Linked DNA regions of Cricetulus griseus. The protein of the gene in region 1 purifies or fractionates together with the protein of each later gene. This does not show direct contact. Links are inferred from orthologs where the notes say so. Each region holds a gene or a part of one and is shown on either strand. Other genes may lie near its edges.

Region 1 (3,500 bases):
CAAGAGGACCCAGGTTCAATCCCCAGCACCCACAGAAGGTTCACAAAGGTCTGTGACTTCAGAAGTTGGGTTCCCGATGACTTCTTCTGACCTCTCTGGGCATTGCAACACATGGTACACAGACATACATAGAGGCAAAAGATCATTCATGCACATAAAATAAAAACAAATAAACCTTTTTCAAAAAGAAATTGAAAACTTACAGAAATATAAAGGTGTTTTAAATTATGCCTGTAAAAGAGATCAGTCTGCACACAGAAGAAAAAAGGCCAATGTATTTTGTTGAAAAGGTAGAAAATTACTGGCTTTCTCATGTAGATTTTGAGTATATTATTTATATTTATTTCATTAAACTCTATTTTGAAAACATTTAAGAAAGTAATTGTTTAATTCTTCCTGTGACAGTCTCTTATCCAAAATATCCATTCCTTTAAAAATTTTGAAACTAGTTATTTCTGTGATTCCTGTGGAACAGGTCTCAAGATGACAATGCCTTTTTTTGTAGGTAGTAATTACAGTGAAAAGTGTGATGTCTTCAGCTGGGGTATTATCCTTTGGGAAGTGATAACACGCCGGAAACCCTTTGATGAGATCGGTGGCCCAGCTTTCCGAATCATGTGGGCTGTTCATAATGGTTTGTCAAAAGAAATTTTTCTTTAATATATTGTGTATATTTCATATTTGGAAAACTGCCCCCATCCTCTTCCCCAGAGACTATGTATATCTGACACTGAAATGTAGACTTATTTGTTACCAGACCACCTTACTTTAGCACTCTATATACCTTTGTCTCTGGTTCTGGTGGGGAGAATTTAGACTCCTCTGCATAGGCCTGAGGCTGCCAACTGCACTGATTAGAGAAAGACCATCAGTACTTAGCCAGCACCTTTATCTCTCTCAGGGCTAGAGAAGCACTGCGGCAAAGTAGATAAATGAAATCTCTCATATCGTTAAGATAGCTGGGATGCTAGGCCCCTTTCTCCTGGGAAAACAACTCTCAAGCAAAACTGCTGGTAAGAGTTGTTTCTTAAGCTCAAAAGGACACAATATTCAGTGCTGCACACATGTTTTAGTTGTATATTCTCAACCATGCGTACAGTGCTAACATCACAAGTAATAAGTGTTGGAGCTGGAATCCACATGCAGGTCCTTTGGATTCAAGTGCTCCTACTTTTCATCAGGGTGACTTAATGTTATGTCTCTCTGACTTCCATAAATGTGTTCAGATAGCTTCCTCACTAGTAGGTCCTTCACAGTTTCTTTGATAAAGAAACTCTATAAGGAACTACAGCATCACTGTTACTTCACGTGCTTCTAATCGTTCCAGTGAATAAGTGCTTGTATACTAGTCTACAGGTGATCAAAGAAAAAACACCTAACTCTTTAGAGCTTTTGTAGGCTGGCCAAACAAAACCATCAGAGTAATCTTGGCTGTTTTACCAGTTTCCTCTGCCAGCTTTGTTACATCCTATAGTGTCGTAGAAAATACAGGAGCTTTCCAAGACAGTTTGCTTCCTCTGGCTATCAGTTCTCAGCAAGTGATTGTCAGTGAGGTAACAGAGTAAAAGAACTAGCGTATTGATTGATTAACCTATAAAGATCTTACTGTATCTGGAGCCACTCTTGAGTGTGGGAAGCTTACCAGTGCCACTGCAGGGTTAATAAATTATAAAAAGTTGGCACTTTCTGTCCTGTAAAATAGTTAACTGCAACCAGTGAGTGTAACAGTACAGCAGAGGAAAGTTGGTAAGTATAACATTGTAGGTGAAGGAAGTCAGTGAGTGCAACAACATGGTTGAAAATGTCAGTGAGTGTGACACCCTGAGGGAAGTCAGTGAGTCTAATACTGGTTGGCTGAAGTAAGTTAAGTGTGATACCAGAGTTAAGGAAAAACAGTGAGTGTGACACCATAGTTTAGGAAAACAGTGAGTGTGACACCAGAGTTGAGGGAAAACTGAGTGTGATACCACAGCTGAAGAAAACAGTGAGTGTGACACCATAGTTGAGGGAAGTTGTGAGAGTGATACCATGGTTGAGGGAAGTCAATGAGCATTACACTGTGTTTGATCACTTTCTGTAAATGGAAGATTTTTTTTCAAATGCATTTAATATTTTATAATCTGAAAATTCATCTTTCCTCAAGTCAGCTACTTATTTTTCCTAATGCATGCATTTGGCCTTTGCTCTTTGAAAGAATGCATATGACAGTTTGGTTTGGGTTTTGAGACAGAGTCCCACTCACTATGCAGCCCTGTGTGTTCTGCTGGCCTCTGCCTCACAAGCACTGGTTAAAGGCATACATCTAGCCCAAGCAAGCAGTCTTAGTCTCACTGTTCTTATCACCTGTGTTACAAATTTAATGTAGTTTTTGGTATAGTTTGCCCTTTGTGAAAATATATATAGATACAATACATGGTAAACTAAAAGAGAAAAAATGCTAGTTCAGATATTGTTGGAAATAAACTATAAAAATCTTGCAGTGTTCTTTGGGTAGATAATTCTTTTATTCCTCTAATTTTCAATTATAGGTACTCGACCACCACTGATCAAAAACTTACCTAAGCCCATCGAGAGTCTGATGACCCGCTGTTGGTCTAAAGATCCTTCTCAGCGCCCTTCAATGGAAGAAATTGTGAAAATAATGACTCACTTGATGCGGGTATAACCCTTCTTTTGAGGGGCCTTGGGTTTGGGGGACTTTACTATATACTGAGTTTTATTGGACTTTTAAAATGAAAGAATGGGAACTATTTCCTGCATTATACTTTCCTGTGTTTTTAAAGTCAGAATAGGCATTTATTTATTTATTACTTGTATTATCAGAAGAGAAAACATTACCTTAGAAAAATGTTTGTCTCTGTAATGACAAGATGGCTAGACAGGTTTCTAGGATTGCTGTCTTTACTAACATTTATAGATAAATATTTGGTTCCAGAGTGTGTGAGAGATGCTGATATAGGGTATGTGAGGCTTGTCAGTGCCTACATAGATATGATTAATAACATGCTTAACTAAGTTTGTCAGATTTTCATCAAAATACAGTCATTTCTACAGTATGCTGGGGATGTATTTTAAGAGATGTATTTGAGTAATTTTAATGATTCCCATTTTGGCTTTTGATTGAATGTTTTCAGATGGCAATAAAATCTAAGCTTTTTCTAGGCTTGATGGAATCTTTTAATTTAGAAGAACCCTTTTAAAAAGCTAATCAAATTCCCTACTCTACAAATCTTACACTTTAGGGTTACTTCAAATATTTTAAGGTAATTTTTTCCTTTATTGAAAATAGGTTTTATTTTGTAACAAGAGCCATAAATGGTAGCTTTAACTTTGTACACATAAACTTTAAGTTATGTAAGTCAAATTAATAACTATTCACCTATGTTTTGTCTAATTTGAAAAAAATCTCACCCTAAATTTTATTTGTATTGTTCAGTAAATAATTTCAGTATTATGTCCCCAGTTCATAGAGCCGGGGGCTTCCATAAGGTGTGTTCTTA
Region 2 (3,500 bases), about 14 Mb from region 1:
TAAAATATTACATATTGGTTGTCACCAAAATTCTTAAAGTAAACAAAGACTTTTCATATACAAAGATAATAGCTGTCTTCATATAACTAATTAAATATGCAGTGTATAAGGATTTAAATACTCTTCCTGAAAGAAATTGCTAGAAATAGAATTCTGTATGATAAGAAATTAATCTAAATGAAGATGTCAGAAATGAAATAATATGGTGGGGAGCATCTAACAAAATAAAGCTTGGTAAATGCCAAAATAATTATAATTAGTGCATTTTTAAATACTACATTTGAGATTATAATATCACACTGTCCCTTCCCTTTCCTTCTTCCAAGCCCTCTCATATTCTCCTTGATCTCTCTTTTAAATTCATAGCCTCCTTTTTTAAAATTGTTGACACATATATATGTATATGTTAATGTGTTTTTGAAATGAGCAAATATTAATTTATTAAGAGAGTATAAGAAAATAATTTGTAATTAAAAATGCAGTTGGCAAAAATAGTTTAGAAAGAATGTATTGCACAAACTATTTTAAAAACTTTAAGGGTTTCTAATCCCAGTGCTGGAAGGCAGAGGTTGGAGAATCCCAAGTTTGAGGCCAGCCTATGTCTCACAAAAAAGGGGGCAGGGAATTTATAAATAAATAAATAAATAAATAAATAAATAAATAAATAAATAGATTAAAATGTAAACAGGGAAGTGTTTGACTTTTAAAAGTTGGTGGAACTGTATATACTAAAATATGAGCCTTTGCAGGATCACAAGGAAATAATTTGTAAAAGCTTATTAACTGTATTTATATATTTTTTCTCTGCTATAAACCTGCTGTGCACTTGGAATAAGAAGATAAAGCCAAAGTGCTTGTTTCAAACTATTGGTTCCCTGACTAGTTTGTCTGAGGTGATAAATAGGAGGGAGGTCTAGGGTGTGGGTTAGCTCATCAGCTCATTGATGAATTACGAGATGGATTGGGGATGCATAGGAAGAGTCAGAAGGTACTGACAGAGCTTAAGGTCCAAAAAGGGAGGCCAAGGAGAGAAGACAGAATAGAAAGAAGACAGAATGGGGAGCTTGTTCTGGCTTGAGTCCTGTGTGATGAGGCTCTGTGACTAAGTGACAGTAGTGAATATGTGGGGAAATATGGAGGGCTTAGAAAATGTGGGTGCCACCTACAGTTTTTTTTTTGTTCTTGTTGATGTTTATTTCATTTGAGGACCTTTTGCAGAAAAGCAGTCCTCTGGCCTTGGTCCTGTGGAGCTGGCAGCTGTCATTGCTGGTCCGGTCTGCTTCGTCTGTATTGCACTTATGCTGATGGTCTATATCTGCCATAACCGCACTGTCATTCATCATCGAGTGCCAAATGAAGAGGATCCATCACTAGATCGCCCTTTCATTTCAGAGGGTACCACCTTAAAAGATTTAATTTATGATATGACAACGTCAGGATCGGGATCAGGTAATGTCATTGCTTACCTTAAGAAATCTTAATAAATCACTTTTGCTAATTTATTTAATTAACTAGTTGACACATTTGGCTTAATTTGTTAAAAATTTGGGATAGTGTGAATGCTGTTCCAGATTGCAGCCTAATGAAGATTGTTGAGCTTGGTGTCTATCTGACCACATAGTTTTAGTGTAGATGAATTGGAGCTTGCTTTATAAGTCACTTCCACAGTTGTATAGATTTCAAAGAATCCTCTCCTATAGGATGATACTTGGCTTTTTTGTGAGCTTGGAAGGTAGAAAGTAGGACACCAGCCGGGTGGTGGTGGCACACGCCTTTAATCCCAGCACTCGGGAGGCAGAGGCTGGCGGATCTCTGTGACTTCGAGACCAGCCTGGTCTACAAGCACTAGTGCCAGGACAGCTTCCAAAGCCACAGAGAAACCCTGTTCTGTCTCGAAAAACCAAAAAAAAAAAAAAAAAAAAAAAAAGACTTTACAAAAAAGAAAGTAGGACACCTTTTTTTTGTTTTTTTTTGGGGGGGGGACAGTTGAGACAGAGTTTCTCTGTATAGCTTTGACTGGTCATGGAATTCTTTCTGTAGACCAGGCTGGCCTTGAACTCACAGATTTGCCTGCCCCTATATCTCAAGTGCTGGGATTAAAGGCAATGTGCCATCACCACCCAGCTAAGACACCATTCTTAGGAAGATAGAGCTGCCATTAAGAGATACAGTTACCATTCTGCAATTCTGGGACTGTTCACCTGGAATTTGGAAGGTTATTTATTTGCCTTCTTAATGGTATGAAATTGTTACTTTAATAAAAAAAAAAAAAAGTGTGTGTGTGGTGGGGGGGCGGTGCATGCCTGCCTGCCATCCACAGAAGTCATGGATCCTGGGGGACAAACTCAGGTTATTGGGCTTGGTGGAAAGTACTTTCATCCAGTGAGTCAGTGGGTCATTCCAGTTTATTGTCTATTATTAAAATTAAACTACTGCATTTTTAGTAACTTTTTTTTTTTTTTTTTTTTTTTGGTTTTTGGAGACAGGATTTCTCTGTAAGTTTGGAGACTGTCCTGAAACTCTCTTTGTAGACCAGGCTGGCCTCAAACTCACAGAGATCTGCCTGCCTCTGTCTCCAGTGTGGCGTACTGTCCTTTGAAAACTATTGATCAGTTTCAAATAAGTGCTAAATTTATGGCCATAATGAATATTTGGAAACAAAAATATGGCTGATTTTGAAATAAATGATAGTAAAAGAATATTAAAGCGGGAATTATGACTAAGGAATGGTGTAGCTCTGAAGCACAGAAACCACATTAATGCTTGCAACAGTGTAATAATAGATGTCTTTATTTTAAGGAAATTAATAAATATTGGTATGTATGCATACCTGCTCACTCTTACGTACTTGAAGAAGCAGATACTACCTGAAGCCTTTGGTAAAAATGTGGCAGTGAATACTCAGTAGTGTGTTCTTTTTCTGATTGCTAGAACACATAAAAGCTTGCAAACAAAGCCAGGCCTCCCAGGGCAGCCATAGGGACTCCTTAGTTAGTCCCATATGAGAGTGAGGCAATGAGAGATTGGACTGGGCTAGAGCAGCTGGAGTACTGGAGATATGACAAACTTTGGGAAGGAGAAGTAGATGAAAAGTATGTTAGGACTGCCCTGGTTTCTCTGTTGATTCTGAGTTAAAGCAAATGGTTCTCAAAGAAAAATCTCACAAGGGATCCTCCTGGTCCATGATAAGTAGGGGACAAATTTGCAGAAAACTAAGGTGATTACAAACCATTTGAAATTAGTCCCTTGGATCTGTTCTCTTATTGCTGAACTTGTACCCAGGGAAATTTGAACAGCTCACATTCTCAAGTCCACCGAAAGGGTTCAACACATTGTCATGTAGATGACAGTTGATTTCTAGCAGAGGTCTGTTTATTTGTCTCTGAAATGTAGCTGTATGAATTGGAGGGTGGAGTTACTCTTTCTCTTTCTACTTCCCATGGACATCTAGGACCATTAGGAGTTGTTCTATTGTCTGAGAGCTTCCCCCTCCTTTCAGA
Region 3 (4,031 bases), on another chromosome or scaffold:
GTAGAACTGACTGTTCCCCCACATACTCTGGCCCAGAAGAAAAAAAAAAAAAAAAAAAAGCCGGCAGCTGCTGTATCTACAGCGCCTGTTGTTGTTTGCTGTGGTGTGTTACAACATGGCCTGGCAGCCTCCCGGGCTTTTCTTCCTCCTGGAAGAGTCTCCTCTCGGAACATGTGACAAGTCCACACAACCCTGCAGATTGGCCCACACTGCCCCTAGCTGTTCACTCAGTTCCTAAGCCGTTCCAGGTCTGCATGCTTTGTGAGCTCACAGCTTCCCACCTTCTGGGAGAGCCCTTCTTCACTCTTCTTTGTAGACACGTGCCACAGAACTAACTGGGGGTTACTCAAGTGTGGATGTCCCTGCCTGTGAGCCCGGAGCTGTCACGGGCTGGTACGGTGCCTTCTCACCTCCGTGCGCCCTCCTCCACACAGGGTGCAGTTCTTGCCCACTAGATGCAAAACCAGCTGGCATCAGTGAGCAGGACGGTTGCTATCCACATGGCGCTGTTGACCGAATTCATGTGAGCAGCTTGTGGCTCCCCTGGGAGGCTGGTTAAGGGGAAGTTTCCCGTCACTGAGACAGGACCCCTGCTCAAGAGGAGGTTCCTGTGTCAGTTTTGTCTTTTCTGCAGAGGTCTATGAAGAGAGGAAAGGAATGACCATACCATCCCCCGGCATGGTGACATATAGAAGGCCTTCAAATATTCTAAAGTATGACAATGCAAAAGAAACAAAAATAAATAACTAAAATAAAAGCAGAGAGAGACAGAGGAGAGGAGGAGGAAGAGGGAGAGGGAGGGAGGGAGGGAGGGAGGGAGGGAGGGAGAGAGAGACAGAAGAGAGGAGGAAGGGGAGGGAGGGAAGGAGAGCGAGAGCCTAGCACTCACCGGCCCTCTCTCAGAGGACCTGGGTGGCACCCGCAGCACGCCCTTGGCAGCTCACAGCTCCAGTCCTGGGAGATCCGACGCCCTCTTCCGGCCTCTGCGGGCCACCGCACCCACGCAGTGCGCAGACACACAGCAGGCGGGCACTCAAACGCGCTCTTAAAAAAAAAAAAAATTAGAAAACGAAGGTTCGCGCTCAAGTCCCCAGGTGCAGCTCCCGAATGTCGGAGGCAGTCACCCCGGGTTGGCCACGTGGCTGGGGGAGGGGTGTGGTCTTGAAGCTGAGCGGGCTCAGCAGCCCATCCTTGGGGCTCCTCTGTGTCGCCGTCCCCTGGGCTACTGCGCAGGGGAGGCAGAGCCCCGGGGGAGAGCGCGGCCACACCCACCGGGCGTCCCGAGAGAGCAGCGAGGTGCTGTTTTGGCTTTTCCCGGGGTCTAAGGAGCATCTTCGAGCTCACGAGGTTGCTGTCCGGGGTCCAGGCTGGTGAAGGGCGGGCTGGGTGGGCAGCAGGCGGGGCAGAGACTTGGCGGCGCTTAGTCTGGAGGCCAAGGACGCCGCCGAGAGGTGTCGGCCGGCTTCCTCCATCCCCGCTCTCCGGCCCCCACAAAGGCCAGGGGCCAGACACGTGGGCCGCGGCAGCGGAGGGGCGGGGATGCAAACCGACGGGGCGGGGCCTCATTTGCATAGACCGCGCGCGGCCACCAATGGGGACCGGCGGGGCCACAGCCCGCGCGCCTTTTGGGGGCGGATTGACAGCCCCGCGGCCCTATGGGAGGCGGGTCCTGCGGCCGGTGTGGGCGGGACGAAGCCGGGCGCTGCCCGGCGCACTAGCCGGCTCGCGGGCGCTGCCAGTCTCCGGCGGCGGCGTCCGGCGCGCGGCTGAGCTCGCGGAGCGTGCGGACCGGCGGCCTGCTGGCCGGGCAGAGAGGGCGGCTGAGCGGCGCGCGCGGGGGCGGAGAGACGCGGAGCCCGAGACGCGGCGGCGGCGGCGGCGACGGCGACAGGTACGGGCGCCATGGCCGCGGGGATGGGGCGCGAGCTTGCGCGCGCTCGGTGGACCCGGGAGTCAGCCGTGCGCCGGCGATCGCGCCTCCGCCGCCCCTCGCGCGGCTTCCCCGGGGCGGCGTGGACGGGACGTGCGGGAGACCCCGGGCCCCGCGGGGGCCCGCGCCGCGGCGCGGTGCAGCGATCCGCAGGGCGCCTGGGCGTGCCGCGCGGGCGCGCCGCCCTCACCTGCCCGGCCGGCCCGCCGCTCCGGGCCGGCAGGTGACCGGGGGGCGCGGAGGTAGAGCGAGAGGGGAAAACAAACAAACAAAAGCCAATTAAAAGTTGCTTTCGGCGCCTCCGAGGTGGTAGAGCGGGCACAGGCGCTTGTCGCCAAGTGTGACGACCTGAGTTAGATCCCCGGAACCGAGGTGGTCTGAGGCGAACCGGCTCCCGAGAGTTGTCCTCTGACCTCCACGTGTATAAGACATACACACACACACACACACACACACACACACACACACACACGCTCACACACACATGCTCATGCTCACACACACACACACACACGCATGCTCATGCTCACACGCTCACACACACATACACATGCTCTCTCTCACACACACACATGCTCATGCTCACACACGCGCACACACACACACGCATGCTCATGCTCACACACGCTCACACACACACACACATACACACACGCTCTCACACACATGCTCATGCTCACACACGCTCACACACACACACACACACACACACACGCATGCTCATGCTCACACACGCTCACACACACGCACACATGCTCACACTCCCTCCCAATAATAAAGAAATGAAAGTTGTGTTGGAGTCTCCTTCCCTTCTGCCCTGGGACATCACAACCACCGTCCCGGCCAAAGCCCCCTACTCGGAACCCGGCGTGAGTTTAACGTGTGTGTGAGAGAAAGTGCGTGTCCGCCAGAAGCGAAGGGAGCGCACTGCGCTGTGGTCATCTTCACCGTCCTCGCTGTGGGTGAGCCGGGGGGAGCGCTCGCGCCCTGCTCTTTACACAGGGGTTTCGGCGGCGGCAGCGGCGGTGGCGAAAGCTGTGGGAGGCACAGGTCGTGCAGGGCTCGGGACACTGTGTACCGCGCCTGGCTGCCTGCCGTTCAGTCAACTCTGCAAGCTGCAGTTGGGAACTGGTGGTTTGGGGATTTTTTTTTTTTTCCCAGCGGACTGAGACTGAGCGTTGAATGGGCACTTTCTTTGCCTTCCCTAGGAGTAGGAGAGAGTGCTGATTTTCATTGTCTTTCCATTTTCTTAGGGTAGAGGACAAGGGAAAAGTTAACATGTATTTAAGAATTTTGTCCCTCCCCTTCTTGCTGTTAGTGTTTGCTATGTGGTTATTATTATTATTATTATTATTATAGAATTGTAGTAGTTCCTACTCTTGGTGCCCGAATCAATTCAAGGTATGACTTGAAAAATATTCTGCTGGGACATTCTTACTCTGTCGTATTTTCACTTAACCATTTTCTGTTTGCCTCTCTCCCAGCTGTCCGGTATGTGCTGAACAGTCTTCTGACAGCTTTTACTTTGGGGTTTCTACAGAAATGGTGTATTTTAACCATCTTTAAATGCAAAGGTTAATAACATTCATGATTCGTTAGAAACACGCGCTTTGGTTTTCTTCCTTTCTCACTTCTAACGTGTCTTGTGTGGGAACTGCACTGGGTGTAGTCTGTATTTCAGAGCACAGTTAATTTTTATTTAATTGCACTAATTAATTGAGTGGTCATTTTATTCATCTAGATAGTTTGAGTTAGCTATTGGTTGGGACCACTTGAGATTATTTTAAGTTAATGTAGGAATATCCTTTTTAAATTGTTTTAAAACAGTGAGTTCATGCATGAATGAGGTTTTTGTCATTCCAACCTTTTTTAAAAGTATGTTTCTCAATATTTACTTTTCAGTTACTTGACATTTGAGAGGATTTATTTTTATTCTTCTTAAATTTTATCATTTATTTATTTATTTATTTATTTATTATTGAGACCATGCTGGCACAGGTGTGGCTGTCAGAGGACAACTTTGGAGTTGGTTTTCTCCTTCCACGATGTGAATCCTGAACTTCAAATTCAAGTGGTCCAGCTTAGTGGCAAATGACTTTCC
Region 4 (4,241 bases), on another chromosome or scaffold:
GGTGAACTGAAGCGGACAGAGGCAAAGGAAAATGGGAAGGCAACCACTGCTAAACAATGAAAGCACATTGGGGAAGATGGGCTGCATGCACGCACTAGGAAGGAAGGTGTGGGCGGTGGCGTCGGAGACCTTGGCCAGAGCCGGCAAAGAAAGGAGAGGAACATTTACAGAGCACGGAGTGGCCATTCTCTCCTGGTGGGCTCATCAGCCCAACTCGCTTCCAGAGGCGGCCTTGGAAAATGGCAAGGCTAGACGGACAGGCGAGGCCTGGACAGACAGCCCAGTGGGAAGGCAGGGCGGAGGTACTAGCGCAATTTGGTTCTGGCACCTGGAACTGGGCCAACCCGTGACTAGCATCTTCACGCAGCTGCCTAGAGCTCCCGCTAATCTGATAAGATGGAGATCTCCCTCTCCCTAGGTCCAAAGAGCTGCAGGAGGCAAGAGTGCTAGAAAAAGGGAAACCAGCTTGAGAAGCAGCTTGCAGTGCTCGCAAAGGGAGGGCGCACGGCCCCGTGCGCCTTGTCCGTGGGCCACCTCGGAGGCTGGGGGGTGGGGAGTGTCCCACCCATCAGTGTGGGGTCCCCGGTCTGTTCACAGAAAGGTGTCCGCAGTCACTCACCCCCGCAGATCACGTGCCCTGCGACCGATCCAGGTCAGCCATCCCTCTCTCTGGGCGCCATCCCGCGTTCCACCCCCGCCCCCCCCCGCAGCAATGTGGGGCTCCCAGGGCCGGGGTCGTCTAACCATAGCGCACAGTAGGAGCATTGGGGGGGGGGACACAGTTCGGCATTAAGAGCCGGGCAGTAGGTAGCGCCTAGCCGAGCGGCTGCCCCCGCCGCAGCGGGGGGAGGTGGAGCCTCGGGGGGAGGGGTTGAGACCGCCGAGACAGCCCTAGAAACTGCTGGAAGAAATCGCAGTACCGCCGGCGTTGCTCCTTCCGCCGCGCGCCGCCAAAGAGTCCCTGGCAGCCCAGGCCCGCGCCCCTCCCGCCCGAGCAGCTGCTCGCCGCCTGCAGCTGCGGCCCCGTTCCGGAGGGTGGGCATCGGGACCCCCTCCAGCTGGACAGCGAATGTCCCACTGTCCTGCTCTCTCCATGTAGGGAACACTCTGGGAGGTGGGCTCAGAGAACGGCAGCCGAGTTAGCCATCTCGGTGCTCTTGCGAGTCGGGGGTGGAGGCGCCTGCCTCGAGGTTTCTGGGGGAGTCGGCGGGATATCCGCGCGTGGACACATCCCTAGCAGCATAAGCGCACCCCGTGGCCCTCATCTTGCCATGGCCTTGTCCTGGTCGTGCAGGAGAGGCCTCGGCTCGCCGCACAGGCCCCGGGTCGCCCCCCCTCCCGCCCCCAGTTGCTACCATGACGTCAAGGTGGGCGGGCGGCGGCAGGTGCGGGCGGCGGCCCCGCCCCCTGAGGCGGAGGGATCCAAGGGCGGGGCCGAGCTGTGCTTCGCCTTATATAGGGCGGTCGGGGGCGTCTGGGAGCTCTCTTGAGTCACCCCCGCGCACACTAACCTCCGCGTGCGAGTCGGTCGCGCTCCGAGCCCACCCGGCCCTGTACTACTACTCGGCTTTCCTGTCAAGGTAAGGCCGCGGCCTCCGGCCCTGCGGCTTCCCGGGGCTCGTTCCCCGGGCTCTCCCCCCCCATTCGCATCCGTCCTAGAAGGTCCCCGCCCAGCCGGGCGGCCTGTGGGCTGGTGTACCCCGAGCTGCTTGCGTCTGGCCCCGCGGGGTGGCTCGGCGAGGCTCCTTGGGGCCCCGGGTTGGGGCCCCGGCGCGTGAGGTGGGGGCGCGGCCCAGCTGTGTGCAAGGCAGCCGCACGTGGTAGGCGCCGACCTGGGACGCTGCCATGTTTGCCCTCCACTTCCGGGCGCAGCTGCAGGGTCCGAAGGGGCCGCGCGGTGGCGGGCTCCGCGGCGTGACTCAGCACGGCCCTGTGAGGCTGGCCTGGCCGCCTCCTTTGGACGCCTTTCCCAACGTGGTTGGGGTTCTTGGGCGTGGGGGTCGTCCACGGGGTGGCAGGGACGCTTGAGCGCACTGCCATTTGCCTTTCCAGATCTTTCCTGCGCTCCGGGGAAGGAGGAGGAGGAACCCGGAGGGGGCTGGCACGGGAAGATCCATTGGTCCCTCCCCTACCCCTCCCCTACTCCTCCCCGCCCTGGAGCTCAGATTGTTCTGGAAGCTCCTGGTGCCCCGCCCCAGTGCCCGGATGCTGGGGCAGTGGGAGGGTTGCGGTGGCGCCCCCTCCCCGATGGCTGCCGCCGACGCGTGTCCGGCAGTGACGAGGGTCGCTGGAAGGCTCGGGCCACCATTTTACTTGTGTTCAGGGCTATGCAAGTCTGCGCAGTGAGAGAGGTCATGGTGGAGCTTTTACCTCTTTGTCCTGGTTTAATTGCTCCTTGAGTGCCTCCATGACTGCAGCCTCGGGTTCCCTGCTCCTGCTAGGATGGAGCGGCACATAGAAATGGCTGCTGTTTCTGTTAGTTTCTTTTTTGCCCAAATAAAGTTGTAAAGGGTTTCCTGTATATGTTCACCGGGTAGCTAACGAATTATCATTTCTTGAATTTTAACAAGGTATGTTGTCGGGTTGAGCCTGTTTGAGCTGTAGTATACCGTTTTGGCTGCGTTTGTTTGAAGAACCATCCATCCTTTGAGTTTTTTCCGTTTTCGGTTTACCAGCTTACTGTAGCTTTTCAAGGTCTTTTTAAAAATGGCGGTTCTCATCCCTTGGGAATGGATACTACTCAGCTTAAAGCATTTTGAATTGGAGTTTAAAGTGCATCCATCGTTTTAGTAATTAATGTGTAATGCTTTCTTAGATGCCTGAGGAGGTGCACCATGGCGAGGAAGAGGTGGAGACCTTTGCCTTCCAGGCAGAAATCGCCCAGCTCATGTCCTTGATCATAAATACTTTCTACTCAAACAAGGAGATTTTCCTTCGAGAATTGATCTCCAATGCTTCTGATGTGAGTATCACAGCTTCATAGAAGCCCAGTGAGGGATTGAGAGGAGTCTGCCGTGGGTTGAGAGCCAAGACAATGTTTGCAGAAATGGAATAATGTGGCTGTGTGTTTATTTACAGGCCTTGGACAAGATTCGCTATGAGAGCCTGACAGACCCTTCCAAATTGGACAGCGGCAAAGAGCTGAAGATTGACATCATCCCCAACCCTCAGGAGCGCACGCTGACTTTGGTGGACACGGGCATTGGCATGACCAAAGCTGATCTCATAAATAACTTGGGAACCATTGCTAAGTCTGGCACAAAGGCTTTCATGGAGGCTCTCCAGGTGTGTGGCCCTATATCCACAACATTCTCAATACTGCTTTTGACTTGTTAATTTTTCAGTACTTGTTTTCACTAGTGATATGGTAGGCTTTTAACCTATGGAGATCAGAGGATTACTGGCCAGTAGGTCCCAGGGATTGAACTACTTGATAGTTACACTTGAGTTCAGCAAGCACTTGTGCAGAACCATTTTACTTACCTCTTAACTTTTAAAATCCTTTGGCAGGCTGGTGCAGACATATCCATGATTGGGCAGTTTGGTGTTGGATTCTACTCTGCCTATCTCGTGGCAGAGAAAGTGGTTGTGATCACAAAGCACAATGATGACGAGCAGTATGCTTGGGAGTCCTCTGCTGGTGGATCCTTCACAGTGCGTGCAGACCATGGTAAGCTGCCTGTCCTCGTTTGGATGCTTGGTAGAATTCTCTGGAGGATAGAAAGTCCAAAGTCTTGATCATGCACTGTTTAATCTCAGCACTTTGGAGGCAGAGGCAGATGGATCTCTTGTTTTAGGACAGCCTGGGCTACATAGAAGCCCTGTGTCAAAATGGGGAGCAGGGGGTTGAGTATTTTGGTTGTAGTTTTTTTGTTTGTTTTTTTTTTCTTCATTGTGGTTTTTTGAGACAGGGTTTTTCCTGTGGCTTTGGAGGCTGTCCTGGAACTAGCTCTTGTAGACCAGGCTGGTCTTGAACTCAGAGATCCTCCTGCCAGGATTAAAGGCGTGCACCACCCCACCGCCCAGCTTAGTTGTAGTTTTCTATGTCTTGATTCTATCATTCACTTTTTTATAGGTGAGCCCATTGGCCGGGGTACCAAAGTCATCCTTCATCTCAAAGAAGACCAGACAGAGTACTTAGAGGAGAGGAGGGTCAAGGAAGTGGTGAAGAAACACTCGCAGTTCATAGGCTATCCCATCACCCTCTATGTGAGTATGGACTTGGCAGTATTTGAGCAGTC
Region 5 (4,281 bases), on another chromosome or scaffold:
GTGAAATGTCCTGCCAGGGAAATGTCTTTCTTCCTATTTTATAAATTAGACAAGTCAAGGCCCAGGAGGGAAATGATTTGCCTCAAGCTAAGAAGCTTTAAAAAAAAAAAAAAAGCCAGATTGCAGTCATACTCCACCTAGACTTGCCAAAGTCCTTCAATTTAGAGGTCTCTGACCCAAGGCCCTAAGACTGGCAGGGTTTAGTAAGAATAGGATTTGGTGACTCGGTGGTAAAGTATAGTATAGAGAGATATGAATGCCAAGCTAAGAATGCTTTTCTGTAAGTAATGGGGAGTCACAGCAAACTTTGGAGAAGGAAATAAGAGGTTGTCAAATTAGCCGGGTGTTGGTGGCGCACGCCTTTAATCCCAGCACTTGGGAGGCAGAGGCAGGTGGATCTCTGTGAGTTCGAGGCCAGCCTGGTCTTCAGGGTAAGTGCCAGGACAGCCTCCAAAGCTACACAGAGAAACCCTGTCTCAAAAAACCAAAAAAAAAAAAAAAGGTTGCCAAATATAGATAGGGCTGGGGATAGCTCAATGGGTGGAATGCTTGCCTAGCTTGCACAGTGCTCTGGTTTCAATTCCTAGCACCACATAAATGCAGTCTATAATCTCAGAACTTGGGAAGAATGAAGACCAGGAGCTCAAGGTCATCCTCAGCTACTTAGGGAGATAGAGGCCAGCATGAGACCCTCTCTCAAAAAGAAAAAAAAAAAAAGCCAAATACATGTCGGGCATTGGTGGCACACGCCTTTAATCCCAGCACTCGGGAGGCAGAGGCAGGAGGATCTCTGTTAGTTCGAAGCCAGCCGGGTCTTCAAAGAAAGTTCCAGGAAAGTCTTCAAAAATACAGAGAAACCCTGCCTGGAAAAACAAAAACAAAGATAAATAAATAAATAAAGTCAAATACAAGGACCAATTAGAATTTAATGAGTCCATTAAAGTTGGTATTCTCTAGACCTATCCGGAGATTCTGCCTCTTTAGGTGTAGGATTCCTCCTGCTATCTCCTATTTTCTTTTCTCTCTTCTCCTTCTCCCCCTCCCTCCCTCCTTCCTTCCCTCTTTCTTCTTTTTGTTGATCTGGAGACAAGGTCTCATGTAACCCAGGCTGGCTTCCCTACCTCTACCTCTGGAGTGCTGGGATTAGAGGTGTGTGCCACTCCACCTGACTCAGTGTGTGTCATACACGTGTTCTCCAGTAGCTCTGATACACAGCTTGAGTGAGGCTTCTCTGATCTGCTTAAGACAGAGGGCTGTCAACAAAACCCCTCCCTCCTCTTAATCTGCAGTTTCTTCTATCTGTGGCCTTGCACCCAGACAGAAACACAGGCCTTCCTTCCATCAGACACAAAGCAATTGCTTTTCAGAGGTAAGCACCCCTGTGAGGAACATCTCTTTTACTTTGAGTACTTCTTCTGTGTGGGCAGAGGCAGGTCTAGAGGGAAACAGTCAGGATGCAGGCTGACAATACACAGGAACCTGGCATACATCCTGGCTCTTCCAGTCATCACCTCTATAAAACAGAGCTCATTTGTCAGAACCTACTCAGAAGGTTGATTTGGAGAACTAAAAAGATAAAGCGCTGTAAAATGCTTGACAGAGGCTGGCCAGCTCTTGATATGAGTTAGCGATTATTGTTATTTGAAAAAAGGCAAGGGGACTGGAACTAGCTCTTGTAGACCAGCCTGGGTCTTGAACTCACAGAAATCCACCTGCCGCTGCCTCTGGAGTGCTGGAATTAAAGGCGTTCGCTACCACCCGGCTCCTGTTTTGCATTGTTAACTTCCATCATGATCCCATAGCCTACCAAGCAGTGTCTTCAGGGTAGAGATGGGGCCAAAAGGAGGCACAGGGAAAGGAGGAGGAATCTGTGTCTGGAGGAAGAGTTTCATGGGAAGTGCAGGTATCCAGGCAGGCAAAGACCAAAAGGGATCAGGTCTGTTCAGCCATCAAGGTCCATAAATTCCTCTCTCAGAGACTACACTTTCTCATCTGTAGCACAAGAGCAAGCTGCAGCTTAGTGATAGTTTGCTATATCTACAGTTAGGAAGATGGGTTCAAATTCCGGCCCGGCCACCTACCAGCTGTGTGCCCTTGGGCCAGTCACTTCCCCTCACAGCATCTTTGTGAAGATTGAAATGAAATACTGCCCATGAAAAGGCTTGGCACCACCTGCCTGCCTGACACTTGGTAAGTGCTGGGTACCAGACTATGTACTTTACAAAAATCCCTTCTTTCAGATAACCTTTGGGGCTGTGACTTAGTATCAACCCTGTCTTCAAAATGGGGAAACAGAGGCACAGGAAAGTTCAGCAATTTGCAAAAGCAGGATTGGGACCAAGGAGTTTTGTGCAGAATCAGAGTTCTTTCCCCTACACCTACACACAGTAGGTGTTTTTCAGGCTCTTTTTCTCATCTGGTTAGAAACTCTGTTGAGCAGTTAAGAATTGTCTCAGGAATTTTATGAGAAACAGAAAGATCAAATAATTATGAACAGATACGGGTTTGGTCAATTTTGTCTTTCATCCGGGAAGGTAACAAGAAACAAAGAGGAAGGAGCCCTGGAGAGGGCAGATGGTGCCATGGTTTTGGCTGACCTGAGGAGGGGGTTACCCAAAGCACATCACTCCTGGACTAGGGAGCCTCACCCCAGGACGATGAGTTCACCATACTTGATGGGTTCCTCGCCTGGCAGTGCTTCTTCACCAGGAGAAGAGAGGATGCAAGAGCCCTTGCTCCCTGGGTGCTGGAGGTCCGAGGTCCGAGGGGATCCCACGTCAGGGTTTCCTTCCAGCACCATTCTGAGCAGAGTGGGAGAGGAGAAAAGAACTCTGAAGCATCCCACACCAGCTCCTGTCTAGCTCAGGCAAGCTGCCTTAAGCCAAGGCAAGCGTGGTCCTTCAACACTTATTATTATAACTACTTCTGTTCCCCATAAACGGTGAGATTGCTGGATTGCCAGGGAGGCAGACTGATGAGACAAGGCAAACAAAGAAATGGCAAAGTCAGAGGGTCAGGATATTTGATGGGGCCAGTGGAATATAACAACTTTGGAGAGAATATGCTTGGCAGAGGGGCAGCCAGGTCTTAAGGAGCTTTACTTCTCAGACTTAGTTCCTGGCTTAGGCTTTTAACCCAACACCTCAGTTACCCCTTCTTATCAGGTTCTTGGATCTATATGTTCATGCTAATCTTTCTGCCTTTTTGCAGGTCTAGGCCTCTGTCGGTCTGTCTGCTCTCAATGACTCTCTGTCCTCCCAGCACTGTCCTTTTCTGCCTTTTCTCTTCCCAAACTCTATTCCCCCCTTCTCCTATCAATCTTTCTTCCTCTTGTCATCCACCTTACTCAGTCTCCCCATCTTGGCCTGGCATTGAAAGCAGGCCTCCAATTCCCTCCCGGGTGCGCGTCCCCTCCCTCCCTCAGGTGTCTGTCTGCGGTCCTCAGGCCGCTCTGGTCCCAGGAGGCCTGTGGGGGCTGCGCTCCCCAGTCGGGCTTCCCCTGCAGCACAGCGGGTGTCCCGCAGGCTGCCTATTTAACAACCCCAACGCCGGAGGGTCTGCGCCGAGGGAGGCTCGCACCCCGCGCTGCGCTCGGGACGGGCACGACGACGGCCCAGCGCATACGCAGATACACAAGCCGGCGGCCCCTCGCAAACAGGCGCGCGCGCGCAGACACAGTCCCGCACACCCCTAGCACCGCGGGCTGTGCCCAGGCGGGCGCAGCACACCAGACATGCTACTGCAGGGACGCGCCCACGCGCCAACAGCCACAGGCGCTAGCCCTCAGACCCGCTCCCCTAACCTCGCCACCACCAGAAACGCAAACACGCCCCCCCGCACACTCACGGCGCAGACCCCCTTCCACCGCACCTCCACCTCTCAGGCCTCACCTGGCTGCGCTCCGGGGCTCTCTGGGAGCTGCTCGCCCCCACCCGCCTCTCCCTTGCTGCGCCCCGGGACTGCAGCGGCGGGACGAGCTCGGCCCGCGGCTGCTCGGTGCAGCCTCGTCGCGGGGACACTCGGGGACCGGAGGAGGGAAGGTTGCGCACACAAACCTCCACGCTCCACCCCCTGCCCCCGCCTCCCCCTCAGGGCCCGCCCCCTATAGAGCCCCGCCTTACCCTGAGGCTCCGCCTCCTGCGGTTTAGCCTAGCAGCAATCGGCAATGCCAAGAGCTTTTCGGGAGCCCGAGCCTTTTTCTGGGCCCCGCCCCTGGAACCAACGAAGTCCCTCCCGCCATTCCCTACGAGGGACTCCCTATCCCCTCCTGGCTAGTGGAGG
Region 6 (3,500 bases), on another chromosome or scaffold:
AATGCCTTTAATCCCAGCACTCAGGAGGCAGAAGAAGGTGGATCTCTGAGTTTGAGGCCAGCCTGGTCTATGGATCGTCAGGGCTACACAGAGAAACCCTATCTCAATTCCCTCCCCCCCCAAAAAAAAGATCAGTGTGAAAATACTAATTTAATAGCTTTTTTTTTTTTTGCCTGTTAGCAGTTTTGGATTTTCTTGTGTTTATTATAGTCTTGTTATATGTAGCCTAAACTGGCCATAACTTCCTATGTAGACCAGGCTGGACCTAAAACTTGTGGCAATATTCCAGCTTCTGCGTCTTGAGTATTATAGAGGTGTGGTATCATGCCTGCCTTTTTGTTTGTTTCTTCTTTGAGACAGGGACTCTTGGAGCTGGCTCTAGCAAGAATTCACTATGTAGCCAATGGTGGTTCTAAACTTCTGATATTCTTGGCTTAACCCCCTAAGTGCATATATTTCAGATATTTACCCCCATACCTGTCTAATGACTTTTTTGGCTAGTTTTCCTTTCTTTTGGGGGACAGGTTCTGTCTATGTAGTCCAGGCTAGCCTGGTTTTCATGTAGCCTTCCTATTCAGCCTCCCAAGTGCTGGGATTACAGGCATATACCACCAAAATTGGCTAATTTAGTAACTCTTGCTTGAAAATTGATATTGATAGGGTGGAAAATAGGAGCATTATTTTAGCCTTGAAATGAAAGCTTTATAAGGAATTTTGTAGCAGTTTGCTTTGTGGCTCCCCAGAAACAGTGACGCTAAGGCCTTTAATCTCAGCTACTTAGGAGTCTGATAAGATAGGAAGTTTCAAGGCCTGTCTAGGTTAGAAAGCTCAATCGACGCCAGCCTGGGCAATTTGTCAAGACCCTATCTCAAAGAAAAGGCTGTATTTTTAACAGACTAGGGTAATTTGTGCCTATTGCTGCCTGTAATCCCAGCAATTGAGATATGGAGGAGGAGGATTAGATGTCTGAGGTCATCCTTGGCTAAATAGCAAGTTTGAGACTAGCTTGAATCACAGGAGGACTGGCTTTACTAATACTTCACTAATTTATCAGCTAATAGAGTTTAATGTCTTTAATCTTTTAGGTGTAAATATCTATTGGATGAGAAGGGGCAAGAATATATAAATAATATTCATTTAACCCATTCACTTGGAGAATCTTTGGTAAGTTGCCTGTTATTTTGTTTTTCTAATGATTTCTTCCAGTGAAATGCATGGTATACTACTATAATTAATGTATAGTAAACTTTAAAGGGGAGAACTTCAAGAAACCTTCTAATTCTTAACCCTGAAGCAAATTTTTGAAAAGATCAAAGCAAAATAATGTATCACTGTGAACAGAATGGGTGTGAAGAACTTAAAATACTGAAATCATTTAGCTCTCAGAAATCAGGCTTTTGTGTAATGTACTTTCCACTCACAAATAGTTTCTACCTTTAAAAAAAGACAGGGCTGGCTTTGTAAACCCACGAGATGTGCCTGCCTTTGCCTCCTGAGTGCTGAGATTAAAGGAGTCTGCCACCATGCCTGGCAGTTTTCACCTTATATAAAAAAACATTGATTGATTGATTTAGTGTGAATGTATGCGTGCCTGTGTGCATGCCTGAGCAAGTGTTCTCAACTGCTGAGCCATAGTATTTGAAATTGCAAAATTAAGGCTGGAGATATGTATCAGTTATACCTTATCTGGCTATCATAAACAAGGCCCTGGGACAAAAAAATACGAAAATGTGTCTGAATAGATACATGGGACAAGGGTAGTCAAAGCATTAGTAAAATGTGGGAAGAACCCTGAACTGGAATCAGAGTTTAGAGTTGACCTAATGGTTCTACTGTTAATTTTTTTAGTTTAGTTTGTGTTTGTTTCCCCTACAGAAAGTCATTTTATCTCATTGACCCTCACCTTCTTGTCTGTAAAGAAGTGATATTGGATTAGTCTTAACTTCCTTGTGTTCCACCAGGCTTCACCCTTGTGAATAGTCATGTTTTAAATTAGAATAAAGCCAGTTTGTTTTGAGTGTATTAAGTTTTCAAATTGAGGTAATTGCTTTCTACTAAAGTGAATTCTTACCATTCATATTTCTATTTTAGGTAAGAACTGCTGAAAAAACACCTTCACTAACTAAAAGAATTGGTAAATATTCTTATTAAAATAAATCTGTTTAATTTTTTGGCCAAATTATTATAGTATGTTTAATGAGGTTGCTATAAATTTATGAGGTGTTTATAATTTTATGTCATATATTTCTGTAGTGAGGATGTCAATAAAAGGCCAGGTGTTGCTGGGTGGTGGTGGTGACGCCTTTAATCCCAGCACTTGGAAGTCAGAGGCAGGCAGATCTCTTGAGTTCTCTGGCAGCCTGGTCTACAGACCAAGTTCAAGGACAGCCAGGGCTGTAACACAGAGAAAACCAAAAAAAGAAAAGGAGAGCAAGAAGAGGATTTCAGATCCCCTGGAACTGGAGTTATAAGTGGTTGTGAGCCACCAAGTAACTGCCAGGAACTCTGAGCCATCTCAGGCCAGACTGGCTGGACCTCTCTATCTTTTTGCCTCCGTCTTTTAAGTGCTGAGATTGTAGTTTGTGCCCCCACATGAGGCTAAAAGCAGATCCTGTGATGATGTTTATTATTGTTTGTTGGTGCTGGTGATTGAGCCCGGAGCCTTTCTCATGATAAGTACTCTGAGTTACAGCTCTAGCAGTTATTCCTACTTTTCAACTGAAGAAACAGGGAGGTTATATGATCTACCCATGGCCACATTATAAATTTTGTTGTTGTTGTTGTTATTTTGTTTTTTTTTCAAGACAGAGTTCCTCTATATGTAACCCTGGCTATCCTGAAAGTCCCTCTGTAGACCAGGCTGGCCTCGAACTCAGAGAGATCTGCCTGCCTTTGCCTCCTGAGTGCTGGGATTAAAGCATGTGACATTATAAATTATTAATAGAACTAGAAATGTAAACAAGGTCTTCTAAATCCCATAGCACATTATAGATTTAATTTTTGGTGGGGGGAGTATTATGGAACAGGGTTTATCTGTGTATCTCTGGCTGTCCTGAAACTCACTATGAAGTCCAGGCTGGCCTTGAACTCATAGACACCTTCCTGCCTCTGCCTCCAGAGTGGTGAAATGAAAGGTGTTTACTACCATACCTAGCTCTGCTGTCCCTTGTGTTTTGTATTTTTAGATCTCATTTGTCAGTCCAGGCAATATATTTCAAAAATACAAGGTTTCATTTAGAATACCCGGTGAGTCCTTATTCTCTGATGTCGTAACATCATCTGTTTTGTGTGTCGAGGATTACAAGGCAGAAGAATACTACATGTATTCATAAATATGCTTGAAATTAAGAGCTACATTACTTGGTATGAATTTGGCAGTAATAACAAAGTTAAAGAAATCATTTTTGTCTAGCATGCATTTTTAAAGTCATTCTGGGGAAATCAAAAACACATCTAGAACTAGGGTTGTGTTTCAGTGATGGTATGTTTATCTAGTATAT
Region 7 (4,279 bases), on another chromosome or scaffold:
TTCTTCAGTTTTTCCTAACAGAGCATATTGGTAGTTGTTTTAGTTAGACAACTGGGAACCAGGTGGAATCAACAGAAATCTGCAGTAGGCTCTGGAAGATGTGGTAAAGAGTAGGTGTTTGCCTCCAGGGAACTTCATGCAATAGAGAGAAAAGAGGCAGAGGCAGGACCTCAGATCCTTTCACTGAAAGCAACTGTAACATTTGTCAAATTACAGATTTGGAAAACATATAGACTGAATAGCACTTCCTGGTTGCACCTCAGTTTTTTTTTTTCCATCCAGGAGGAAGAAGTTCAAGTAGATGGTGCTTTAGAACTTGCATGCTCCAAGTCTGGCCCACATTTAATGGCTGAACATAGATTTCTGAAAAGCCTTGCAAATGAGAAATTTGACAGAAGTACATGATGTACAGCAGGTACTGACTGCTGTGATGATCAGGACACACAGGTGGGAACATATGCCGTGAGTTCAAATTAGAACCTGTGTGGCCCCTTAGCAGTCAGTTGGGAAAGTTCAGGTAAAGAGAGAGAAGTGCCTTGCAAAATGCTACATTTGATTTTTTTACACTCAGGGCCTGAGGGGAGACTCACCGATGCACCCATGATGATAAATATATGTGTATCAGCTTGGTGGAAGGCATCACCCTGGTACAACTCTTCCCTCAGGATGCCACACACCTGGGTCCGGCTCAGGGCCACCTGCTCTGCCATGGTGTTTTCTGGTGGAAGAAAGACTCATTGATAAGGCAGGAGAACAGAAGAGCATTGACAACTTAACCTTATCAGAATCAGAAACTGCTGCTTCTGGGCTCCAGCCATATCCTATGTTGTCTTCTCTGGGGGCTGTACATTACGAAATCTCTATAAGCATTAATGGAATTCAGCTAGGGAATCCACTCTGGGAAAGCGACGCGGTCAGAGCATCGCACTGTGTCTGGGGCCATCGCACTCCAGTCTCTGCCAGAAACGCCACAATGAACTGAGCATCTTTTCATTGTGCAGATGATGGAGTTCAGCCCCAGCTCTCTGCTGGCCAAGCTAAATGATCCCAGAAAGACCCTTCTCTTCTAAAAGTCTAGTCCTCATGGGCCTAATGCGGGGAAGTGCGGGGTACAATGGGATGGGTTAAGACCTCGTAGATCTTTTTCCATATCCAAGCATAACAAATAGCGCTCATCAAAGGGACACGCGGCTCATAAGCGGGAAGCACATCCCTCCACCGGTGTGCTATCAGACCACCCCCTTTACCTGTGTTTAGTTGCTGCTGCCAAACAGGTTTACAGTTCTGGAGTGCACAGCTCGTTTCCGGGGGCTGCGCTTAGCTGGCTCGTTTAACGCAGGAGGGCGGGTGCTTTGACTGAGCTGACCCGCCTCAGGAGAGGCAGGAGAGGAGGAGCTTCGGACTACTCCATCGGTGAGGGAGGGGAGAGTAGCAGAAGTAGGTGCGCACGCATCCCTTGTCAGCCCCACCCTGTTGGCCGTCCCTGCTTTCCTGCTCCGCGATCGTGATGCTTTGCTGGCACAGATACAGCTCCGCACAGTTCTCCTGCGTCCCCATCGCTACCCCAGCCATACTTTATGGTCTGTTTTCCGATGGACCCTCGAGTCCCTGCGCACTCCTGGATGACCCCACTTCCGTTAGCAGCATAGCCACGCCTCCCCTTGCAATCGGTTTGGCGTCCTTTAGCAGCTTCTTCTAGGCTTTTTCCATGGTAGGGACCTGGTGGCAGAGAGCCCAGTGACAGAACCAGACTAAAACTGGGGTGTTTCATTGCGAATGCGACGCCTTGAAAATGGGGTGGGGACAACTGTGGGCGAGGTGACACACGCCTTTAATTCCAAGCACCCGGGAAGCAGAGGCAGGTAGATCTGGATAGCTAGGAGAGAGACCCTGTATCAAAAAAAAAAAAGTGTGTAAGTGTGTGTGTGTGTGAGTGTGTGTGTGATCTTTATCAGTGAAGAGCGTTGCGCTCTTCGGTTAGCCAATGCAGGCTGGCGGTCTGAGGCTTCTCTTCAGAGTGGGATGCAGCACTATTGTGGCTTCGCAGCTCCAGTTAATCTCCTCGACTTCGAGTCTGTGTTTTACTTCCGGATCCCACACTTACGACACCGGAAGCCGGAAGCAGGGGTTTCCACAGCCGAGAAGGGAAGGGTGACCGCCCAACCAGGACTTTCTGAGAGCTCCGATTCAATCTGAGAGGTCGGGTTCCGCTGCTCAGGCCCTCTTCACTTCTGGCCGACTCTGCTGACAGGTGTAGTCCTCTTCTCCAAAGATAGGGCTCCATCGGTGGCCATTATGCAGCTTCCGAGGCTCCTGAGCCCCCTTCCCCCCACCTTGGGCCCAGTTTGTTCTGTTGCATGCTTTCGAATGCTTTTTAGAGCATTTATTCAAGAAGTGCAGATTCGCGACCCAGCTTACTTGGACTGATTTCTGTCCTTCCCTCTGCTTATCTGTCGCCTAAGGGCTTGGCCCCAAGTGCTAGAACTCTTAGTTCACAGACATTTTTCTGTTGATGAAACTTTGTTTTCTGAAACAGCATCTCGAAATGTAGGCCAGGCAGACCACGAGCACAAGATTCTCCTGCCTCAGCTTTTTCAAGTGTACCGACTTTGCCTTTGTTTTTGAAGGGTTCACGATAAAAGGGAGAAACAGTCAAAGTTATCTTTGATGTAACTGGTCCCAGTGGGGTCAATTGATTGTAAAAGGCAAGGGAAGAAAGCATGGTGATCTGTAAAGAGATTATTGCAGTAATCCATGTGAAGGATGATAGTGCTGTCAGCCTTTTATTACTGAAAACTTTAAAAATGTACAAAAGTAGAAATATTAACATAGTAAGTTCCATGTACACATTTCTTAGTTGTCTCTATCAACTCATAGCTAACTTTAATTCACAGCCCTTACAGTACTCTACCATGATTTTTTTTCCTCTTTAGAAAAGATGTTATTTTATGTGTGTGGGTGTTTTGGCTGTGAGTATGTATGTGTACTACATGCTTGCCTGTTGCTAAAGGAATTCAGGAGAAGGTGTGAGGTCCCCTTGGATTGGAGTTGCAGATGTTTGTGAGCCACCATGTGGGTGCTGGGAACTGTCTCTGCAACAACAGCAAGTGCTCTTAACCACTGAGTAATCATCTTTTTTGCTCCACCCATTATAATTTTCAAAAACAGCTTTCTTGAGACATAATTTGCATGCTGCACCATTCACATTTAAAAACTAAAAATATTTACTATTTGTGTGTGTGTATGCATGATGTGTGTGGAGTGTCATGGCCAGAATGTGTTCTCAGGTTTCCAGGCTTGCATACCAATAGTTATCCACTGAGATGTGTCACTTGCCCATAATTCAAAATTTTTGGAGAGAGTCTCATGAAGATCCCTTCTTTTTGAGTTTCTCATCCTCCTGCTTTTACTTCCTAAGTACTAGGATTTACAGAAGTACACCACCACATCTGGCTACAATTCACGTATTTAAGGTGTATAATTCAGTGGTTTTTAGTGGGTTCATAGGAGTGTGAAAACATCACTAATTGCGGAACATTGTCATCATCCCTAAAAGAAATCCTAAATAAGAAACTCCAATCCACCTCATTTCTCTAAGTAACCACTAAACTACTTTCTGTCAGGATTTACATGTTTTGGATATTTCTTATGCTTGTAAGTATATACAGTATATAGCTTTTAGTGACATTTCTTTCTCTTAGCAATTATTTGGAGCATGTGTTCTTGTTTTTGTAACAGATTTTGCTTATTCATCAGTTGGTGGACATTTGGATTGTTTCCACTCTGGCTGCTTTGAATAATGCTGCTGTGATCATTTATATATGGACATGTGTTTTCATTTCTATTGGGTTTATCCATAGGTATCTCTTTTGTTATGCAGTGAATTTCAGACATGTGAGTGTTTCATTATGTATCTCTTTCAGAAAGTACTCTCAATAAACATAACTACAACACCATGATCACACTTAAAATACCTAATGTTATAGTGTGTCTTCATGAATTAAAAAGATGGGCAGGGGGGAAGATAAAGGAACAGAAAAACTAATCGAACAAGCAAGCAAAAACTCAGAAATGCTCAAATTTTTTGTCCTGATAGTTGGGGGATGGATTTGTTTTCAACTGATAGTAAGGGAAGTTGTGGATAGAAGTGGATTTGGGAGACTCACTTTTTTGGGTACTGCTGGGGATCCAGAGTCTGGTGAATGTTTGGCAAGTACTCCATTGCTGAGATATACTTCTAGTTCTGGGAAATTAATTTTGACAAGACCTCTTTTTATTT

Evidence for each region.
Region 2: the proteins of Map3k7 (region 1) and Tgfbr1 purify together in Homo sapiens (affinity purification with western blotting; 3 studies listed by BioGRID). This does not show direct contact. The link is inferred for Cricetulus griseus from reciprocal best matches to the Homo sapiens genes MAP3K7 and TGFBR1.
Region 3: the proteins of Map3k7 (region 1) and Fkbp5 purify together in Homo sapiens (affinity purification with mass spectrometry; 4 studies listed by BioGRID and IntAct, with this or other methods). This does not show direct contact. The link is inferred for Cricetulus griseus from reciprocal best matches to the Homo sapiens genes MAP3K7 and FKBP5.
Region 4: the proteins of Map3k7 (region 1) and heat shock protein HSP 90-beta purify together in Homo sapiens (affinity purification with mass spectrometry; 3 studies listed by BioGRID and IntAct, with this or other methods). This does not show direct contact. The link is inferred for Cricetulus griseus from reciprocal best matches to the Homo sapiens genes MAP3K7 and HSP90AB1.
Region 5: the proteins of Map3k7 (region 1) and Peli3 purify together in Homo sapiens (affinity purification with western blotting; 3 studies listed by BioGRID and IntAct, with this or other methods). This does not show direct contact. The link is inferred for Cricetulus griseus from reciprocal best matches to the Homo sapiens genes MAP3K7 and PELI3.
Region 6: the proteins of Map3k7 (region 1) and Xiap purify together in Homo sapiens (affinity purification with western blotting; 3 studies listed by BioGRID). This does not show direct contact. The link is inferred for Cricetulus griseus from reciprocal best matches to the Homo sapiens genes MAP3K7 and XIAP.
Region 7: the proteins of Map3k7 (region 1) and Ikbkg purify together in Homo sapiens (affinity purification with western blotting; 8 studies listed by BioGRID and IntAct, with this or other methods). This does not show direct contact. The link is inferred for Cricetulus griseus from reciprocal best matches to the Homo sapiens genes MAP3K7 and IKBKG.

Annotation. Positions count from the first base shown.
Region 1 is NC_048595.1:110,090,241-110,093,740, reverse strand, and holds part of Map3k7 (mitogen-activated protein kinase kinase kinase 7), read left to right. Parts: intron 1-505; coding exon 506-634; intron 635-2,528; coding exon 2,529-2,659; intron 2,660-3,500. UniProt on the Homo sapiens protein: Serine/threonine kinase which acts as an essential component of the MAP kinase signal transduction pathway. Plays an important role in the cascades of cellular responses evoked by changes in the environment.
Region 2 is NC_048595.1:96,028,356-96,031,855, reverse strand, and holds part of Tgfbr1 (TGF-beta receptor type-1), read left to right. Parts: intron 1-1,206; coding exon 1,207-1,449; intron 1,450-3,500. UniProt on the Homo sapiens protein: Transmembrane serine/threonine kinase forming with the TGF-beta type II serine/threonine kinase receptor, TGFBR2, the non-promiscuous receptor for the TGF-beta cytokines TGFB1, TGFB2 and TGFB3.
Region 3 is NW_023276806.1:233,602,980-233,607,010, reverse strand, and holds the start of Fkbp5 (peptidyl-prolyl cis-trans isomerase FKBP5), read left to right. Parts: upstream 1-1,231; 5' UTR 1,232-1,347; exon of another isoform or gene 1,348-1,515; intron 1,516-1,746; exon of another isoform or gene 1,747-1,891; intron 1,892-4,031. UniProt on the Homo sapiens protein: Immunophilin protein with PPIase and co-chaperone activities. Component of unligated steroid receptors heterocomplexes through interaction with heat-shock protein 90 (HSP90).
Region 4 is NW_023276807.1:31,888,691-31,892,931, reverse strand, and holds the start of heat shock protein HSP 90-beta, read left to right. Parts: upstream 1-1,441; 5' UTR 1,442-1,580; intron 1,581-2,815; coding exon 2,816-2,962; intron 2,963-3,078; coding exon 3,079-3,285; intron 3,286-3,510; coding exon 3,511-3,670; intron 3,671-4,075; coding exon 4,076-4,209; intron 4,210-4,241. UniProt on the Homo sapiens protein: Molecular chaperone that promotes the maturation, structural maintenance and proper regulation of specific target proteins involved for instance in cell cycle control and signal transduction. Undergoes a functional cycle linked to its ATPase activity.
Region 5 is NC_048596.1:54,341,456-54,345,736, reverse strand, and holds the start of Peli3 (E3 ubiquitin-protein ligase pellino homolog 3), read right to left. Parts: upstream 2,801-4,281; coding exon 2,649-2,800; intron 1-2,648. UniProt on the Homo sapiens protein: E3 ubiquitin ligase catalyzing the covalent attachment of ubiquitin moieties onto substrate proteins. Involved in the TLR and IL-1 signaling pathways via interaction with the complex containing IRAK kinases and TRAF6.
Region 6 is NC_048604.1:25,906,938-25,910,437, reverse strand, and holds part of Xiap (baculoviral IAP repeat-containing protein 4), read left to right. Parts: intron 1-1,085; coding exon 1,086-1,164; intron 1,165-2,091; coding exon 2,092-2,134; intron 2,135-3,500.
Region 7 is NC_048604.1:1,290,595-1,294,873, reverse strand, and holds the start of Ikbkg (NF-kappa-B essential modulator), read left to right. Parts: upstream 1-1,479; 5' UTR 1,480-1,577; coding exon 1,578-1,580; intron 1,581-2,097; exon of another isoform or gene 2,098-2,251; intron 2,252-4,279. Other genes in the region: G6pd (glucose-6-phosphate 1-dehydrogenase), read right to left, coding at 591-710. UniProt on the Homo sapiens protein: Regulatory subunit of the IKK core complex which phosphorylates inhibitors of NF-kappa-B thus leading to the dissociation of the inhibitor/NF-kappa-B complex and ultimately the degradation of the inhibitor.